Linked DNA regions of Danio rerio. The protein of the gene in region 2 interacts with the protein of the main gene of each other region in a pairwise test. Links are inferred from orthologs where the notes say so. Each region holds a gene or a part of one and is shown on either strand. Other genes may lie near its edges.

Region 1 (10,115 bases), on a different chromosome or scaffold from region 2:
AAGATGGCCGCAGGGAGTGCTGGTGGTGTTTCTGCGCTCCTCCAAACACAAGATACAGCGTGAAGTGCGAGACGACGACTGACTGACCTGATGACTGAAGAGAAAAACGGCGAATGAGTAACGAGAGAAAGCATTAAATAACAAACGATTCATTTAAGGACTTCAGAAAAGATGATAAAAAAATACAATGGTCAGTAATTAAAAAAGAAGATGAAAAAAATATAGATTCTGATTGGCTGGAAAATAAAAACACACAATAACAGAAGGAAGAAAAAAATTTGATCATATATACAGTGCATCCGGAAATTATTCATAGCACTTCAGGGAAATTATTTATAGCACTTCACTTTTTCCACATTTGTTTATATTACAGCTTTATTCCAAAATTGATTAAATTCATTTGTTACCTTAAAATTCTACACACAATACCCCATAATGAAAATGAGAAAAAAGAAAAAAGATTTTTTGAAATTGTTGCAAATTTATAAATAAATAAATAAATAAATATATATATATATATATATATATATATATATATATATATATATATATATATATATATATATACAAATCACATGTACATCAGTGTTCACAGCCTTTGCTCAATACTTTGTTGATGCACCTTTGGCAGCAATAACAGCCTCAAGTCTTTTTGGATAAGACGCCACAAGCTTGGCACACCTGTCTTTGGGAATTTTTGCCCATTCCTGTACCTCTCAAGCTCTATCAGGTTGGATAGGAAGCGACAGTGTACAGATATTTGCAGGTCTCTCCAGAGATGCTCAATAGGATTTAGATCTGGGCTCTGGCTGGGCCACTCAAGGACATTCACCAAGTTGTTGTGAAGCCACTCCATTGATATTTTGGCGGTGTGCTTTGGGTCATTGCCCTGCTGGAAGTTGAACCGTCGACCCAGTCTGAAGTCAAGAGCAGGTTTTCATTCAGGATGTACATTGCTGCATTCATCTTTCCCTCTATCCTGACTAGTCTTCCAGTTCCTGCTGCTGTAAAACATCCCCATAGCATGATGCTGCCACCACCATGCTTCACTGTAAGGATGATGTTAGCCTGGTGATGAGCGGTGTCTGGTTTTCTCCGGACGTAACGCCTGGCATTCACTCCATCAAAGACAATATATTAATGTAATTTAAATATATAAAATTTGAATTGATGTTTACTTAAAACTTTAATTAGTTTAGTTTAGTTTGTTTATATAGCACATTTTTTACAACACAACGTTGGCCAAAGTGCTGAACACAATCAATACTAAACATGAAATCTACATCACATAAATAACAATTAAAACATAAGGCAAATCCCTCAACATTAAAAAGGCTCAAATACTAAAGAACAAAGATGGTGTTTCAAACGCTTTTTAAAAACAGGTAGAGTTGGAGCATGTCTAAATTATATTGTTCTGATAAAAGATTTTTTTTTAAAGATTTTGTTAAATAAAAGATTTTTCTAGAGTCATCCACCCTAATTTTGTGGCTCAAAAGTATCGGTTCAGGCACCGGTATCATTTTAAAAGTATCGATTTAGCACCGGTATCGAAAAAAAAAAACGTAAAAAAAAAACGATACCCAACCCTTTCATTGGGTTATCGATCACCTCCCTGATTAAGGCTATTCTCCCCGATCACTCAGCTTAGATGGCCGGCCAGCTCTACGAAGAGTCCTGGTGGTTCCAAACATTTTCCACTTACAGATGATAGAGGCCACTGTGCTCATTGGAACTTTCAGAGAAGCAGAAATTTTTCTGTAACCTTCCCCTGCCTTGTGCCTCGAGACAATCCTTTTTCGGAGGTCTACAGACAATTCCTTTGTCTTCATGCTTGGTTTGTGCTTTGACATGCACTGTCAACCCAGGGACCTGATATAGACAGGTGTATGCCTTTTCAAATCATGTCCAATCAACTGAATTTACCACAGGTGAACTCCAATTAAGCTGCTGCAACATCTCAAGAATGATCAGTGCAAAAAGAATGTACCTGAGCTCAATTTAGAGCTTCACGGCAAAGGCTGTTAATACTTCTGTACATGTGATTTTTTTTTCAGGTTTTTTATTTTAAAATAAATTTGCAACAATTAAAAAAATATTTTTTCACATTGTCATTATGGGGTATTGCGTGTAGAATTTTGAGGAAATAAATTAATTTAATCCATTTTGGAATAAGGCTGTAACTTCAAAAAAATGTGGAAATGCGCTATGAATACTTTCCGTATGCACTGTATATTTGCTTAAGTCCATAACTGAAAAGTATTATCACATTTATCAGTTTTAGTTTGATGTTTTTTTTGTTAACTTAATCGATTTGTTTTGGGACAACATAAATAAATTGTGTGGAACCAAGCATTTTTTACAGTTAATAAAAAAACTGTAGGAATATGAAAGGTTGAATCATCAGACAACATGCAGTGCTTTATGTGCAGAGCTGTACACCTGGGGAGAAGGTTTCTGTGCTGTTTCCATTCATGCCGAGCTCTTTGTCGTTGCCTGAGGTTGTTGAACTGCAGTGTGAGAGTGATGGCCAGCTGGAGAACAGACAGGCCACCCAGCAGACGGTAACTGTGACTGATCCTGGGGTCATCGCCGGACGCATTTCCCACTCTTAGCTAAACAAAACATACTCACAGTTACGCAGAGTAGACAATTTAAATCTCTAAACCAGTGGTTCTCAAACTTTTTTCACCAAGTACCACCTCAGAAAAAATTGTCTCTCCAACTACCACCATAATAAACAGTTGGCCAAATTAAGCATCTACAGCACAGCACGGTTCGAAGACGAGGCAGAGTCATATTCATTCAACAAAATCATATTCCGTACAAAATTTGAAGCTGATCAGTCGGTTCTTGTCACGTGACTCGAGGTGCAGCATCCTGAAAAAGTTAAGATGTTTTCAACTGGGGACCCCTGGAATATGTAAGCGCGTCGTGCTGCAGTTCTTACTAATTTTGCTAGCCTGTGGGTTAAATTTTGGCACTCAAGTGACCGAGATGTAACAAGAGAATATGGTCATTTTTCAAAATAAATAATCGTTCAGACTAAGACTATAAATAAAAGGAAAATAATTAATGATTTTTATGTGCGACCGCTTACCAACTGATCTATAGACCGGTGCCGGTCTGTGGCTCAAGGGTTTGAGACCACTGCACTCTGCAAGCACCACGCACCTCTTTCTCTAGTTCTGCACCAAATTGAATAGATTTTTTAGCAGCTGATGACGCGATGCACTAAAGTAAACATTTTGTGCAAATTTTCTTTTATAATTGTACTGACATGCTGCTGTCAAAAAAAGTAAAGACACTAAAATCGTAAAAAGACTATGAAGACGGTAAAATCGTAAAAAGACGATAAAGTAAATATGGTAAAATCATAAAAAGACAAAACAGACGGTAAAATCATAAAAAGACGATAAAGTAAAGACGATAAAATCGTAAAAAAAAGATAAAGACGGTAAAATCGTAAAAAGACAAAGTAAAGACCATAAAATCATAAAAAGATGATAAAGACGGTAAAATCGTAAAAAGATGATAAAGTAAAGACGATAAAATAGTAAAAAGACGATAAAGATGGTAAAATCGTAAAAAGACAATAAAGTAAAGACGATAAAATCATAAAAAGATGATGAAGACGGTAAAATTGTAAAAAGACGATAAAGTAAAGACAATAAAATTGTAAAAAAAAAGATAAAGACGGTAAAATCGTAAAAAGATGATAAAGTAAAGACGATAAAATCGTAAAAAGACGATAAAGACAGTAAAATCATAAAAAGACGATAAAGTAAAGACGGTAAAATCCTAAAAAGACAATAAAGACGATAAAATTGTAAAAAGACGATAAAAACAGTAAAATCCTAAAAATACGATAAAGTAAAGACAATAAAATTCTAAAAACACAGTAAAATCGTTAAAAGACTATACAGTAAAAACGGTAAAATCTTAAAAAGAAAGTAAAAACAGTAAAAAAATTATATATATATATATATATATATATATAAATATATTCAATGACATATATATTCAAAATATCTTTTTTGCACTAAATAACTAACACAAATCTCACAGATCGCAACCAATCAGATAATAAAAATTTAAAACTTGGATATTTTTTTTTTCGTGTGAATAAATCATACCTTCAACCAGAGGTTGATTGTCATGTCTGATGCTAAGGCTAGTTATTTACCTTAAAAGATATTAACTATTCAAATATCTTGCTTCCACATTACAATAATTAAGGTAAAATAACACACTTTAAAGTGATAGTTTACCCAGATTTGCTCACTATTTTCTCACCCTGAAGTGGTTTCTTTCTACTTTTGAACACAAATGAAGACATTTTAAAGAAAGCTGCAAAGCTGTAAGCACTGACTTTCGTAGCATTTGTTTTTCTTCTATTGAAGTCAATGGTTGCAGGTTTCCAACATTCTTCAAAATATTGCAGAATGGACTTTAACCAATTTTTTTTATTTACCCGTGGTTGATGGTGATGTCTGAGGCTAAAGCTAGTTATTTATCTTAATGGACATTAACTATTCAAATATCTTACACATTGGAAATCTGTAACTCTTTACTTGCATAGCATTTTTTTCCTATTATGGAAGTCAATAGTTACAGGTTTCCAACATTTTTTCAAAATATCTCTCTTGTGTTCAACAGAGAAAACTCAAATAGTCTTGGAACAAGTAAATAAAGAAAAAATGTAAATTTTTGGGTGAACTGTCCCTTTAATACAGCATGTGAGATAATAAATTATTATCTTACTCCCCGGTTGAAAAATTTGAATAATAAAAGAACAGACACTTACATAACGAACACCTGCAGCTCTTTTAGCAATGTGGTAAAAGGCTCCAGTGGTGTAAAAGAGCGCCACATGTAGCCTGTACAGCAGTGTGATTCCCTGCTGCAGGGCAAACACAAGCGGAATCAAAGACTTCCTCTGAGACTCCGTAAGCAGCCCCACAGCTCTCTGGATCCAGAACCGCATGTGTGATAACGGGTTCCAGGTTCTGCGTGTGTTCTGAGGTGCTTCAGCTTCCAGCTCATTCTCAACACAGATTAAGACCTTGTCTAAAAGATAAGGCACAAACGTGTGAAAGCAGATAAGTGCCGTCCGGCGGATTCGTGAAGGGATTCGCCTTTTGCTTGGGTCCACCTGGATGATGCTGACGTACTCCTCACCCAGAGTCTGATATCCTGAATGAAACGGACAACAATATAGATGCTATTAGGAGAGCACGATATTGTAAAAACTGTTGTTATTCTGCAATATCCAGTGCTCAACATAAATGAGTACACCCCATATTGAAAATGCATATTTTTATCAATTTCTCAGTTAATCTAGAGTACATCCGGAAAGTATCATAGCGCTTCACTTTTTCCACATTTTTTGTTACAGCCTTATTCCAAAATGGATTAAATTTATTTATTTTCTCAAAGTTCTACACACAATATCCCATAATGACAATGTGAAAAAAAGGAAATTGAAATTGTTGCACATTTATTAAAAATAAAAAACTTGAAAAATCTCATGTACATCAGTATTCACAGCCTTTGCTCAATACTTTGCTGATGCACCTTTGCCAGAAATTACAGCCTCAAGTATTTTTGAATATGATGCCACAAGCTTGGCACACCTGTCTTTGGGAATTTTTGCCCATTCCTCTTTGCAGTACCTCTTAAGCTCTATCAGGTTGGATGGGAAGCAACGGTGTACAGCCCTTTTCAGATCTCTCCATAAACGTACAATAGGATTTGGGTCTGGACTCTGGCTGGGCCACCCAAAAACAATCACTGAGTTGTTGTGAAGTGACTCCATTGATACTTTGGCGGTGTGCTTTGGGTCATTGTCCTGCTGGAAGATAAACTATCACCCCAGTCAAGAGCACTCTGAAGCAGGTTTTCATTCAGGATGTCTCTGTACATTGCTGCATTCATCTTTCCCTCTAACCTGACTGGTCTTCCAGTTCCTGCTGCTGAAAAACATCCCCACAGCATGATGCTGCCACCACCATGCTTCACTGTAGGGATGGTGTTAGCCTGGTGATGAGCGGTGCCTGGTTTTCTCCAAACGTAACACCTGGCATTCACTCCAAAGAGTTCAATTTTAGTCTCATCAGACCAGAGAATATTGTTTCTTATAGTTTGAGAGTCCTTCAGATGCCTTTTGGCAAATTCCAGGCAGGGAGTGGTTTCCATCTGGCCACTCTATCATACAGGTCTGATTGGTGGATTGCTGCACAGATAGTTGTCCTTCTGTAAGGTTCTCCTCTCTCCACAGAAGAACGCTGGAGCTCAGACAGAGTGACCATCGGGTTATTGATCACCTCCCTGACTAAGGCTCTTCTCCCCTGATCACTTAGCTTAGATGGCCGGCCAGCTCTAAGAAGAGTCCTGGTGGTTCCAAACTTCTTCCACTTACGGATGATGGGAGGCCACTGTGCTCATTGGAACTTTCAGAGAAGCAGAAATTTTTCTGTAACCTTCCCCTGCCTTCTGCCTTGAGACAATTCTTTTTCGGAGGTCTACAGATAATTCCTTTATCTTCAGCTTGGTTTGTGCTTTGACATGCACTGTCAACCCTGGGACCTTATATAGACAGGTGTATGCCTTTTCAAATCAAGTCCAATCAACTGAATTTATCACAGGTGAACTCCAATTAAGCTGCTGAAACATCTCAAGAATGATCAGTGCAAAAAGAATGTACCTGAGCTTATTTTGGCGCTTCACAGCTGTGAATACTTCTGTACATGTGATTTTTCAGGGTTTTTATCTGTGATAAATTTGCAACAATTTAAAAAACTATTTTTTCACATTTCCATTATGGGGTATTGTGTGTAGAATCGAGGAAATACATGAATTTAATCCATTTTGGAATAAGGCTGTAACATACAAAACAATACAATGCAAAACAACAATTAAAAAATCACAACTTACAGTACCTGATAAAGTTGTTAGGATATAGTAGGTCAGATCAGATAATAATTCAATTTCCTTTCTCCACTGAAGCCAACGTCTGGAACCTTGAGGAAACAAAAAAGGAAAGGTTTGAAGAAATAGCTCTTTAAAAAAAAAATGGTGACTGAAGGGATAGTTGCCCCAAAATAAAAATGTACTCACTATATAGACTACCTGACAAAAGTCTTGTTGCCTATCCAAGTTTTGAGAACTACAAGTGATAACTAGACTTCTAGTTGATCATTTGGTATCAGAAGTGGCTAATATGAAAGGCAAAGGCCTCTAGATTACACTTATTTTACCAAAATAAAATATGATCATGCCTTGATTTTTAATGATTTAATTAGGACAGTAAGGTCTGACTTTGCTTAGACAAAAGTCCTGTCACTTAACAGATAGTGTAAGTAGTGTACAGTATAAAATTTAAAGTCATGGTGCAGTGGAAAATGAATTAATATTGTGTTTGCGCCTACACAAATCATCTTCATGCCATGGATGAGCTGAAGTATTCAAAACTTATGATGGTAGTATAAAGCTGACGATTTCTAGTTCTGGGTAGCAGCTGGAAGGACATCCGCTGCGATCATTACGCTGTGGTGCCCTCTGGCAAATAAGAAACTAAGCCAAAAGAAAATAAATGAATGAATGAAGTAAGCATTTTAGTGTAGTTTTAGTACTATTTTTATTATTATTTTTATTATTATTATTAATGTTTTGGCATGGGTTTTCTCCAGGAGCGCCGGTTTCCCCCAGTCCAAAAATATGCGCTATAGGTGAATTGAATAAGCTAAATACCCCACTTTGTGAGAAAGAGTGTGTATGGGTGTTTCCCAGTGTTGGATTGCAGCTTGAAGGCAATCCGCTGCATAAAATCATATGCTGGATAAGTTGGTGATTCATTCTGCTGTAGCAACCCCTGATTAATAAAGGGACTAAGCCAAAAAGAAAATGAATGAATGAATGAATTACTACACTTTAAAATAAAAAAATACATTAATAAGGTACAAAAACTCTTTACTCCCAATATGACCTCTAAATGGCAAACTAATTAATCATGCATTTATTGAGGTCAAAACAGATGTAATTGAGGTAAAATTGGTTTTATATTCACATATTCATTCACTGACAACTTGTAACATGCTCCCTATATTGTTTATCATGGTACTTTAAATATTCGGTCCAAAATTACATACAAGTATGACTTCAAAACAACATTAGCACTATTTATTTGCCTGTCAACAATGTTGTACTTTATTACTCATTGACTGCAAATATGATTTCTAAACATAGAAATAGCAAATAATAATTTTCTGAAATTATATTATTAAGAAAAAAGTCTGAATGTGCCACTAAAAAAAAAGCAACTTTGCCTCAATAGTGTCCAGATACTAAAAAGACCCTAAAGACTTACTCTGTGGTCCAGGGTCACATTTACTGTTTATTGAAACTTTACTGTCAAAGTCGGTCACCTAATATCATGGTTATAATATCAAATTAACAAATAAACATCCAATTTTATGCTACTCTTTCCAAGTGCACACATACCAGCGATTCAAAACAGAAGTAATTGACATACATTTGGTTTAATATTCACACATTTGTTCATTTTTGAACAGTTGGAAGGTCTCTATATTATACTTTAAATATATTAAGGTAAAGTTGGTTTAATAGTCACATATTCATTCATTGACAACTTGTCGCATGCTTCCTATATTGTTTACCATGGTACTTTGAATATTCAGTCCACAAATCACATGCAAGTATGACTTCAAAACAACATTAGCACTATATATTTGATTGTCAACAATGTTGTACTTACTATATAGAATACAATGTTGACCCTAAAGACACATTCTGTGGTCGATTGGGTCACATTTACTGTTTATTGAAACTTTACTGTCAAAGTTGGTCACCTAATACCATAGTTATAATATCAAATTAAGAAATAAACATCCAAATTTGTGATACTCTTTCCAAGTGCACATGGTCCAGCGAGTCAAAACAGATGTAACTTTAATTGCTAGCTAAACAATAAGCCAGAGACCATAAATACAAAATTTTGCCCTATAACCAACTTGAAAACATAATATTAGTGTGCCTGGGAGTGTTTTACCAGCAAAGGTGTGGAAGAGCTCATTGGCGTTGTTTGTCAGGTTGTTCTGGTAGTATTCATCCTTCTGACAGGAGCGGATCAGCTGCGGCTGGTTCGCAGGAACAAGAGGCATCGCTCCGTTCGTAAAACTTTCAACAGCTCCTTAGAGGGCACGTGTATGTGCTAGCAGTTTATGTTTTTCATTTTGCAAAATATGGAAGACGGTTGTTGTTAAAATGAACGTTATTAGACTAGCTCACTCTCATAACTGTGCACGCTTCTATCTCTTCCGTGTTTAGTCACGTGACGCTCTCAAGAGCCCTCGATTGGCCGGTTGGTGACAGGCGCTTAGTGACCAGAGATCGAGTTTTCCTGTCACGAACTGGCAAAATCACGGTGTAATTGTTAAAAGTGACTCTAAGAAAAATACAAAAGAGTGCTTGCTTCAAAGGATGATTTTTCTATGGGCTGAAACTTGACGTGAGTCTATAATGATCTGTTCAATTGTCCGATCCATTCCATTTATTTTAGGTTTATTTAAAAAAAAAAAACTATTTCTTTATGTGAATTTCAAACTAAAACATTTTCCTTCATTTGTAAAGTACACATTTTTAACCGTATTGATGTTCTTAGCTCACATTGCTAGTTGGGGAACAATTCGTCTGTGCAAAAATAGTTTATCCTTGTAATCTTAAAATTGACAATCTGAAAATGCACTTCCTGTTTGTTAATATTCATGAATAAATGTTTATTAATATGTTTATAGGAAATGAGTGCTAATGTAACAACTTACCTCAAATCTCCTCTGGCAAAAAATGGATTCACTTTTTTCTTAATATTCACCTTTTTTATTTGACCAATACCTGTCGTGTGTACGCTGCAGCTCATTAAAAATTATTGAGTATTTAAAACAAAACAATTGAGTATTTTTTTTTTTACTTACAGTTTTTTTTTTTTTTTATTTACTCATTCAAAATTGCTTGTTCGTTCCAGAGCGCAACGGTTGGCATAGCAATGTGATACTTCATGTTTCCTTTTCTCTGCCAGTCCTATGAATATATTTAGC
Region 2 (10,794 bases):
GCCCTTAGGTAATAGCCTCACCCATAGTGAATCCAGTGTGCGTGGGTATTAGCCTCAGTATACAAACTTGGAACTTTACACTAGCGCACAGTTGGCATAAGTTGGCGCAACTTTAGTTGCAGCAGTTTGTTCTGTGTCAAAACGCGGTGTTGAGAAGCCTTTATGATTAATTAACCATGACAAATTAAATCGCAATTAATAGTGAAATCGTTCAATCATTGCCTCCCTACTTCAGGGTGGAGCTGAATATATTTACAATCTGTATGTATATCCTGTGTTTTGTGTCAGACAAGCATATGAACGGATGGCTCATGGAGTCGATGCATTGTAATGTATAAAAAACAATCTGTGTTTCTCCTTTTCAAAATAAGAGTCCCACATAAATAGTAAGTTTAATATAATCTTAGATAAACCTAAAAAGAACTAATGGAGCAAAATGGTAAATGTTGTATTACAAGGAAACCTTGAGGTGTATCAAACGCAGCCTTAGGCGTTCATAATAATAATTCCAGAGCAAATTATCAGTGTGCTTTTTGGCTGGTGATCTCCTGATAATGTGTCAGCTTTTCAGGTCCAGATGACATAGAACGTGACCTAAAGTACATGCAAATTTGGAGGTCGTGCCCCGTGAGTCACGCAACAGTCTGTTTTGTGTTCCGATTTTTCATCGAGCTTTACACTCATGGAATTTTCATGAGAACAAGAGAACAATTGTGTTTGAGACTCACTGTATGGGAATTTCTATTATTCACCTTTAAAGGGCCATGACACCCCCCACTTTCGGTTAAAGTCTACTTTAGAATTTTTTCAAAAGATGCATGATTAATGGGCGTGGAGCTCCGCAAGCATCAGGCAGGAGTGGGCGCGGCCTGCAGGGGAGAAGGGGAGCGAACAACTGTTGATGTCAGTTAGCTCACAAAATGAGACAAACCGTGAGGAGACGCATGAGTTTATAGTTTACAAAGTTAAAATGCAAAGAAAAAAACTGGAATTTAATGCCCTACTACATTTGTTATTCGTAATCTCATATACAGACAACCACAATTTATATCATTATAAAGATAATCGTGTTCATATAAACACTATAAATAAGGACTTTTCCCTCAATCCCCGGGTCTGAACCATAGATCTTAAATGCAGACTCAGTGCAGCAGGTCTCCTGACCTGCCTATTTTAACCATTAGTCCAGCTGGTAATCGGAGGATTTAGGCAAACACAGCAGCACGGCGACGTGTCTGAATGTGAATGAACTCCTGATACAAGACAACATCCGCCATTCTCCAATTCTTGTACTGCTCTCCCGACAAAAATGCTAGCATCACACACACAGCTTTGCTGTATGATCGGCCCTGACAGGATCGCGGGGAAAAACATGCAACAAACCCCGTGGATCATGGAAACAAACACATACAAGCCTTCATAAACGGCTACTGTGTGCCGTGGGTCCGTGAACCACAGCTTGAGTTTGGCACTGGTCTGGCAGGTCTGCCTCTGCCTTGCCTTCGGAAAGCACGTGCTGTCGTGCTCTCATGAATAATTAAGTAGCCGGCTCTTCTCATAGGATAAGAAACCTCCGCTATGAATAATAATGAGAAACCGACGCGTCATCATTGTACTTGCAGTACTGCGCTACGTCACCCATTTTGATCCCGCCCCAAAAATCATTTTAAACCCGGAAGCGGAAATTAGCTGACAAAAGCTCAAAATTATCCAGTTTTCCCCACAATGAAAGCTGACAGATGCTAACATTGTCTTAACTGATGCTCAACACACACAAATCTGTTAATATATAAAAAAAAAGTTCTCCAGGGTGTCCTGAACCTTTAGAAGCTTTGAACAGTATTAACTTGAATCTTTTCTTTCATTTGATTTCAGATCTAATTGAAGCGAATGAGGGGAGTGAAGAGGAGAAACAAGTCGAAGCGGTGAAAATCCCTCATTTACAGACTTGTGGTATTTTTTTTATTGAAAGGAGAGAAAAGAAATGCTTCACCTTCACTCATTGTTGGAAGAGTTTTAGGCGACCTAATAATCACATCACAATCCACAACGGAGAGAAAGCATTCACATGCGATCGATGCGGAAAGAGTTTCACACGCAAAGAAAGGCTTAAAGAACACACGAGGATCCACACTGGAGAGAAACCCTTCGCTTGTGCTCAGTGTGGGAAGAGATTCGGATGCTCATCGAACCTTAAACAGCACATGATGACTCACACTGGAGAGAAACCACACAAATGCGATCAATGCGGCAAGACATTTTTGAAGCCGTCAGATCTGATCAGCCACCTCAGAGTTCATACAAACGAGAAGCCTTATTCGTGTTCGGTGTGTGGAAAGAGTTTCACACATCAACAGTATTTAAGAAAACATCAGAAGTTCCACTCTGGGGTGAGAGAGTACGTGTGCTTCGAGTGCGAGAAGACTTTCATTAGGGTTGAAGAATTGAAACGGCACCAGAGGATTCACACTGGAGAGAAGCCTTACAAGTGTTCACACTGCGACACCAGTTTCAGTCAGATACAACACCTCAGAACACACCAGAGGATTCACACCGGAGAGAAACCTCACAAGTGTTCACACTGCGACAAGAGATTCACTCAGTTAGGAGTCCTGAAGACACACGAGAGGATTCACACCGGAGAGAAACCGTACACGTGTGATCAGTGCTTCAGGAGTTTCACATATTCATTACAGCTCAAGAAACACATGAAAATCCACACTGGAGAAATGCGGGAGATGTCGGAAGAGAGTGTTGATGGTTGAGTGTGGAAAGTCTATCCATTTGTCTTCTATTTGATTCTGTTATTATTTAAAAAAGTTTCTGAGGTCATGGGCGTTGTTAGGCCTATTTTAGGGGGGCTGTAGCCTATAATTCTATTCAGCATCTCAAAAACTCTTACGATTAGCTCATAAACTAAACACTAAATTATCGCCTGTCCCCTTTAAATTTGATATGAAAACGGTCGAAGAATCCGGCTCCTCCCCGTCTTTCGTTTTTCATTTGATCAGCAAACCACAGCTGTGCAGAGATATTATAGATACACTTGTATAACACGTACACCAATGTCATGGAGGAGCAATCGGGTTTCCCATCTACAGTTTCATCGGTGCTCACCTCATAATCACAGCTGTTTCCTCGAAAAAGTAGCATTTATTGAACATTCATTCATTCATTTTCTTGTCGGCTTAGTCGCTTTATTAATCCGGGGTCGCCACAGCGGAATGAACCGCCAACTTATCCAGCAAGTTTTTACACAGCGGATGCCCTTCCAGCCACAACCCATCTCTGGGAAACATCCACACACACATTCACACACTATGGACAATTTAGCCTACCCAATTCACCTGTACCGCATATCTTTGGACTGTGGGGGAAACTGGAGCACCCGGAGGAAACCCACGCGAAGGCAGGGAGAACATGCAAACTCCACACAGAAACGCCAACTGAGCCGAGGTTTGATCCTGCGACCTTCTTGCTGTGAGGCAACAGCACTACCTACTGCGCTACTGCCTCGCCTCATATCGAACATTTCGCTATTTAAATTTCAAAATGAACTACCAAAATAAAACACATTAAAGTGCCTGTGGCATTAACTATACCATACAGTCTTGCTCAGAAAGGATTAAACACAGTGACAGAACCACTTAGTGAATGTACTCATTTAAACTGCCAGAGTCACTGTTAGAGATGGAAACATCAAGTGTTGTGGTATTTTAAAAAAGCCTTATTTATTATGAATCAGATCATGAAATGTGTGAATTAGCCTGTAGTTTTAATGTTTATATATGTTTAAATTCACAGTTTAATTAGAAAAGTGGCTGTTTTGATTTTTTTTAAACATGGAAGCAAAAAATGTACTTGATTATAGAAAGTGGTTTTTACTACAGTAAACAGGTGTTTTAAGCCTATTTGGCTCATTCACAACTCAAACGGCTATCTAAACATAATAGTTATAATAACTCATTTCTAATAACTGATTTATTTTATCTTTGCCATGATGACAGTAAATAATGTTTTGCTAGATATTTTTCAAGACACTTCTACAGCTTAAAGTGACTTAAAGGCTTAACTAGGTTAATAAGGTTAACTAGGCAGGCTAGGGTTATTTGGCAAGTTATTGTATTAAGATGGTTTGTTCTGTAGACTATCGAAAAAATATAGCTTAAAGGGGCTAATTATTTTGACCTTAAAATGGTTCATAAAAAATTAAAAAACTGCTTTTATTCTAGCCGAAATAAAACAAATAAGACTTTCTCCAGAAGAAAAAATATTATCAGACATGCTGTGAAAATTTCTTTGCTCTGTTAAACATAATTTGGGAAATATTTAAAAAAGAAAAAAAAATTCAAACAGGGTTTAATAGTACTGATTGCAACGTTATGCATGTATGTATGCATGTATGTATACACACACAATTTAGTTTATCCAATTCAACTATACCCGCATGTCTTTGGACTGTGGGGGAAACCGGAGCACCCAGAGGAAACACACACAAGTTTGAGGAGAACATGCAAACTCCACACAGAATTGCCAATTGACCCAGCAGGGGCTCAAACCAGCGGCTTTCTTGCCGTGAGGCGATCGTGCACCCCACTGCGCCGCTGTGACGCCACAGGTTGATATATGCAAGTGATTCATTTGATTCATCTTTAAAGGATTTATTCATATGATTCCTTTGGTTCCTTTTTATCTAAATTCAATTGTCCTATAAAATGTAAAACTCTACGAAATACACACACAGATTGTAGGTCTACAGTAGATTATCATGAACCCTCCAGCACAGCAGGTGTCAGTACAAACCCGTTTTATTGATGTTAAAGCCCCAAGAAGAAAACGCGTCTGACAGGGAAAAAAAAGTGTTGCGACAGATGATGACCGTTGACCAGTGCGTTGATTTCCAGCACTGTAACTCTCCTGAATTATTTTGTTTGGTAAAATGAGCACCATTGTCCTCATTAAAAGGCTCGACTGACGTACCTGTAGGAAGGCGTTATTGTTGTTTGCAGTAGTTTTCCTCATCAGGTGTGATGGCGGAGCGAGGAGCTCATTTAACCACAGCTGCCCCGGCTGAAGATCGACCCTCAGTGTTTGAGGTTTTAGCGCAGGACTCTTTAATGACCGCTGTCAAACCCGCTTTACTGCATGCTGTCAAGGTATGCTCGCTTTTTCATCATACTGTACTCCTGCATTTGTACTCCTTGAGTTTTGGACTGTGACGATAAATAGCGCATGGATAAAATAAATAGTCCATTTTCCCATATTATGCTCCATCGTTTACTTTGTGGCTTCTTTTTTACGGTAAAACTATCAGAATTTATGTAGGCGCATTATTACACGCCATTACGGGGATGCTGACTGAAACATCAATGACAGCATCGTGAGGAAGTTGCAATCAAATACAGTGTTTAGCAATGAGGCGAAAACAGTAAGATCAATATGAAACTACGTAAAGCGTCATTAGGAGGTAAAGCAAAAAATTGCTATTATTGGGCAGGGTTTCACAGGAATATAAGGATCCCTAGATAGTATGTCAAAGAAAGAAGATCAAAAGGAACTCAATTTAGGGCAGGTGTAAAATGTGCCTGTCTGGTTTCTTCATAAAGACTATGAGTACACTTGTAAAACACTAGTGTAATAAATGTGTCCAAAACATTATTTGGAATGTATTTCCTTTGTATTATTAATAATAATCTATTTAAAATATTACTTGTAGAATGATTCCTTTCTATTAAGGTAAAGTACAGTAAATGTATTATTTATACGTGTATATTAATTACATATATACAGTTCTCAGCATATATGAGTGCACACCTCACAGATCTCTCAGTTAAATTCACATTTTCAATAGGATGCTTTACAATATTTGTGCAAATATATTAGATTAGTCAGTTCTGAAGCCAAATTTGGAGCTAATCTAACAAAAAACTTATTACAGTCCAAAATTGGTACATACAAATGTATGTTTGGGAAAAACCATTAAATAAAGATAAAAAAGAGAAAAAATCAAGAGAAACAAAAAAATCTATAATATTTTGTTAAAATTTTGTAATTTGTTTATATTTTCTGCAATATGTCCCATAAATAATGTATCGTCCTTCCATTTCTAAAGATGTTCGATGACTAAAGCATTATTTCAATAAACATATCGGTTATGTACCAAAATATATGACCGTTATTCTCTTAAAAATGGATTAAAATATTAATTTTGCAAATGGGGTGTACTCATTTATGTTGAGCATGATGTATATATATATGTGTGTATGTATATATATATATATAGTGTACGTGAGTGCTGTAAAGGTATCAAAATGTAAAATTGTGTCGTAAAATCTAAGGTCTGCTGCAATTAACACTATTGGTGTGTCTAGCGTAATAACCCCAGGGGTCCCAATCCAATGGAAAAAGAATTAAAAGGCTAGAGCCTTTTTTTTGCATGTTGTTATTTTATGCAACTCATTCATTTTCTTGTCGGCTTAGTCCCTTTATTAATCCGGTGTCGCCACAGCGGAAGGAACCTCCAACTTATCCAGCAAGTTTTTACGCAGCGGATGCCCTTCCAGCCGCAACCCATCTCTGGGAAACATCCACACACACATTCACACACACACTCATACACTAAGGACAATTTAGTCTACCCAGTTTACCTGTATCGCATGTCTTTGGACTGTGGGGGAAACCGGAGCACCCGGAGGAAACCCGCGGGTTTTGCAGGGAAAACGCAGGGAAAACATGCAAACTCCACACAGAAACGCCAACTGAGCTGAGGCTCGACCCAGCGACCTTCTAGCTGTGAGGCGACAGCACTACCTACTGCACTACTTCTTCGATTTGATGCAACTAATAAATACTGTTTTTATCTTCTGTAGGTTATGGCTAAAATATGGTTATTCTAATAGTTTAATAACATATATGATATTTTTGGAAATCACCAAGCAACCCCTCCTCATTGTCTCATGACCCCCACTTTGGGAACCACTGGTGTATACTGCTAGCTCCAAGTAAAGCCAGCAGGCATAAGTCTCATTTAAAGAGATGGTATCAGATTGGTTTATGGTTTCACAGATGCCAGAATTTTTGCAGTATCAGCAAGTATTCCTGATACTAGTATCGGTATCGGAACAACCCTAAAAATATCCTTAAAAAATGTAACTACCGTATTTACATTCCACAGATTCTCGCTACATCTAACCCTGCCCGCTATGGAGTTCTCTGGAGGAGGTTTGATGAGATTTACGTAATCCTGGATATGTTATTGCAGCATCACTTCCTGTCCCGCACCAGCGCCTCATTTTCAGAGAACTTCTATGGCCTGAAGCGTGTGGGATCACATAGTGCCCGTGCTGCCCATTTGGGACTGCGGCGGAGGCAACACTGGCGCTCTTTACTCCTGCTGGCCCTCATTCCATACCTGCACACCAAACTGGAGAAAATCCTGGCGCGACAGAGAGACGAGGACGATTTCTCCATCCGCTTGCCGCAGTCCTTCCTGCAGAAGATGTACAGGGCGTTTTTGGCTGCGTATCCTTTCGTGTGCATGGCGTGGGACGGCTGGGTCTTCTGCCAACAGCTTTTGTACGTTTTCGGCAAAACACGGACACATTCTCCACTTCTGTGGCTTGCCGGGGTTAAACTGTCATATCTCACGGCTAATGACATACACAGTCTGGATCTCAAGCCTTCAGGCCCAGAATTGAGCTCCGGTCAAAGGTGAGTTTATTTAGTGCTTTAATTTGCAAACTATATTGCTGGGTTCATACAGCCATGGAAAACCTGGAAAAGTCATTTTGACATGGCATTTTCCAGAAAAGTGCTGAAAAATCAGGAAAAAAAACACTAAATTTAGGAAAAGTCATGGAATTCTGAGATGGCATTTCACAGAAAAGTTTTGGAAAATCAGTAAAACCCACAAAGTTTTGGAAAACTCATGTAAATATTTTTAACTAATATCTGTATATTGAATATAGGTTAGTTGTCTTCTTTTTCTGTCCCTGGGCAATCCCATACTCTAATATTCTTAGTGCTGCGTATACATTATCTATATAGAAAAATAAATGTAAACTAAATAGATTTTTGCCAGGGCAAGGTACTGTCTCGCAGCGCTCAACCTGAAAGTGAAAACTCTAGTGACCAGTTCATGAACTAGGGCCCTCACTGTTCTGGCACCCTAGGCAGCCACCTAGGTCACCTCCATGGACGCGCCGGCCCTAATTTTTGCATTTTGTTTGTTATGCTGTTATCAATTCGAACGTGCATTGTTTTTCTTATTATTTACCAAGTATACTTAAGACATTATATAAAACTTTAGGTCAAGACAATTTACTTGAAAGTCCATTAGAAAGAAATGAGACGTATTTATGTGTTCACGTCAAATTAAATTCTCAAGCGATTTTATATACATACAAAGCATATTAAAGTTTGACGTTTCAAATAACCGTTGTTGCAATAAAATGAAAAAATATTGTGGACATATTGTTCAGCTGTCATTCATCATAACATTTACACAAAAATTAAAAGATAAACTTATTTTGACCTGTACTTCTTAAAGCATGTAATATAATAAGTATGGCACAGTAAAGCCTGGTTTATACTTCTGCGTTAAGTGATCGGCGTGACCCATGGCGCATGCAACGCACGTAGCCATGCATTTATACTTCTGAGCGCTGTTTCTGTTGTTCTACAATAACACTTCCGATACACTAGTTGGCAGTGAAGTGTAAATGTTCCTCCGGTCGAGTCTCTTCGCTAGTGTTTTTTTTTAATGCTTCCTTAATGTACAAGTGGTTCAAACTCGCTCATTTTGAGGCAGGAACCGGCGGACGTGCAACAACTTTAACCATAAGGTAAACACAACAAAACTTTTCATCTGAAGCTCCTTCACGGGACTGGACACTTGTAAACAGTCGCTCCAACAGACTCACGCGGTTCTCGGTCCCACCCATACTCGTCAGTACTTCCAAGCTGACCAATCACAGAGCTTGCGCTATGCGCTGCTGCGACGTGTAGTTCGATTTTTTGAGAGGTGCAAAACAGCAACGCCGACAGCCACGGCGAGGGCTGTGCGTCCATGTGTAGGCTGCCCCATAGCATACGCATGTGCTTGACGCAGAAGTGTAAATCAGCCTTAAATTTTAATATATTTTAAATGATTAAAAACCTTTTCTTTGTGAGTATTTTTAGAGTATTTTAATATGTCATCTTGGTCCAAATTTGCAGGATTTTTTTGTCTATAAACTACTGTTACATTAAATAGCATTTAGTAGGTGCCCTCTGTAAATGAAGGTAAAAGTACACAAACTAGACACTCTAACCATTCACTTCCGCATTTGGAATGCCGATTTGATGGCTTTCATAGCAATTCTTTTAACCATGCCCCTCTTACCATTAGTTTGTTATGAGGGAATGATGTGCATAAAGAAAGCCCCGCCCCCTACTCAATATCTCACTTCAGTTGGAAGTACATTAACATGCTAAAGTCTCAGCAACTTCAGTTTCTCACAAGCATTAATTTATTTGATGCTTGAAATACATCCATTAATTAATAAATTAATCATTTTTAGTACCTTTACGTTTTTTTGCACATCAAAATATAAAGCTGTGTACTTAAACTAAATCCTATCCTGTTTGCAGCTTTGGAGAGAAATTACAGCGAGTGGTCTCGACGGCGGTCGGTGGTGTGGCGGTGTCTCTGTCCACCAGCTTGTCGATTGGCGTGTTTTTCCTGCAGTTCCTGGAATGGTGGTATTCGTCGGAAAACCAGAGCACCGTGAAGTCCTTGACCTCCCTCCCGACACCTCCTCCCCCCCTCCACCTTCACAGCCAGGAGACGTCTCACACACACATCAAAGTGTGTCCGATCTGCAGGAAAGTGCGCACCAATGACACCGCGCTGGCCACGTCCGGCTACGTGTTCTGTTACAGGTGTATATACGTGTACGTGAAAGCCAACCACAGGTGTCCCCTCACCGGCTACCCTTCAGAACTGCAGCACCTCATTAAAATATACACCCCTGACGGATAGACTGGTCATATTTCAAGATGCCCTTATGTGAATGCCCGAATTTATATAAATATTGCAAAGTGTTCAGATAACTGCTATTTCAAATGTGACCAAAATCTAAATCTGTAATGTGGTTTGAATAGACTACTAATTTATAAATAGTAATAAATTTGTACAGAAATCAATGTTGCTGACTCTTATTTAATGTAATGTGTGTATTTACAAAGTGTATTTATCGTGTATGGCCATACACCCAAGCGCTTTACTATCATGAGAGGGGGAGGTCTCCACACCACCACCAGTGTGCAGCATCCACTCGGATCATGCAACGGCAGCCACAGGACAACGGCACCAGTGCGCTCATCACACACCAGCTATTGACCTTATTCTAAAATGCGGAAGTGCGCCTGTTTTCGCGATTGTCTTAGAACTTCCGATTCTGTCACCTATGGGAGAAATGACTAGGAATAATAAACGGCAGAAAATGGCCAAACTACTTGCTCAACAAACAAATGTTTGCATGACTATACAGACCAAGTAGCATAATATAATAAGAAAATATTAAATTGCAACATCAACCAGCGTAACGAGCAGTTGTTAACGTCAAAAAATGAATGGAAGTGAATGTGACCGGAAGTCGCGAGACAAAAAGATTCAAATGGCAGCGCTCACTCGACAGCTGAGAATAAGGTGAATAGGGGAAGCGGAGAGACAGTGATAGAGCCAATTCAGCGGATGGGGATGACTGGGAGGCCATGATAGTTAAGGGCCGATGAAGGGAGTTTGGTCAGGAC

The links. The genes of interacting proteins can lie anywhere in the genome.
Region 1: the proteins of pex12 (region 2) and pex10 interact in a two-hybrid assay, tested with the Homo sapiens proteins (4 studies listed by BioGRID, with this or other methods). The link is inferred for Danio rerio from reciprocal best matches to the Homo sapiens genes PEX12 and PEX10.

The regions. Positions count from the first base shown.
Region 1 is NC_133183.1:57,048,853-57,058,967, forward strand, and holds the start of pex10 (peroxisome biogenesis factor 10), read right to left. Parts: upstream 9,304-10,115; 5' UTR 9,183-9,303; coding exon 9,071-9,182; intron 7,023-9,070; coding exon 6,942-7,022; intron 5,197-6,941; coding exon 4,808-5,196; intron 2,616-4,807; coding exon 2,443-2,615; intron 95-2,442; coding exon 1-94.
Region 2 is NC_133180.1:67,479,105-67,489,898, reverse strand, and holds pex12 (peroxisome assembly protein 12), read left to right. Parts: upstream 1-4,840; 5' UTR 4,841-5,030; coding exon 5,031-5,156; intron 5,157-7,174; coding exon 7,175-7,710; intron 7,711-9,630; coding exon 9,631-10,021; 3' UTR 10,022-10,185; downstream 10,186-10,794. Other genes in the region: uncharacterized protein, read left to right, coding at 1,876-2,765. UniProt on the Homo sapiens protein: Component of a retrotranslocation channel required for peroxisome organization by mediating export of the PEX5 receptor from peroxisomes to the cytosol, thereby promoting PEX5 recycling.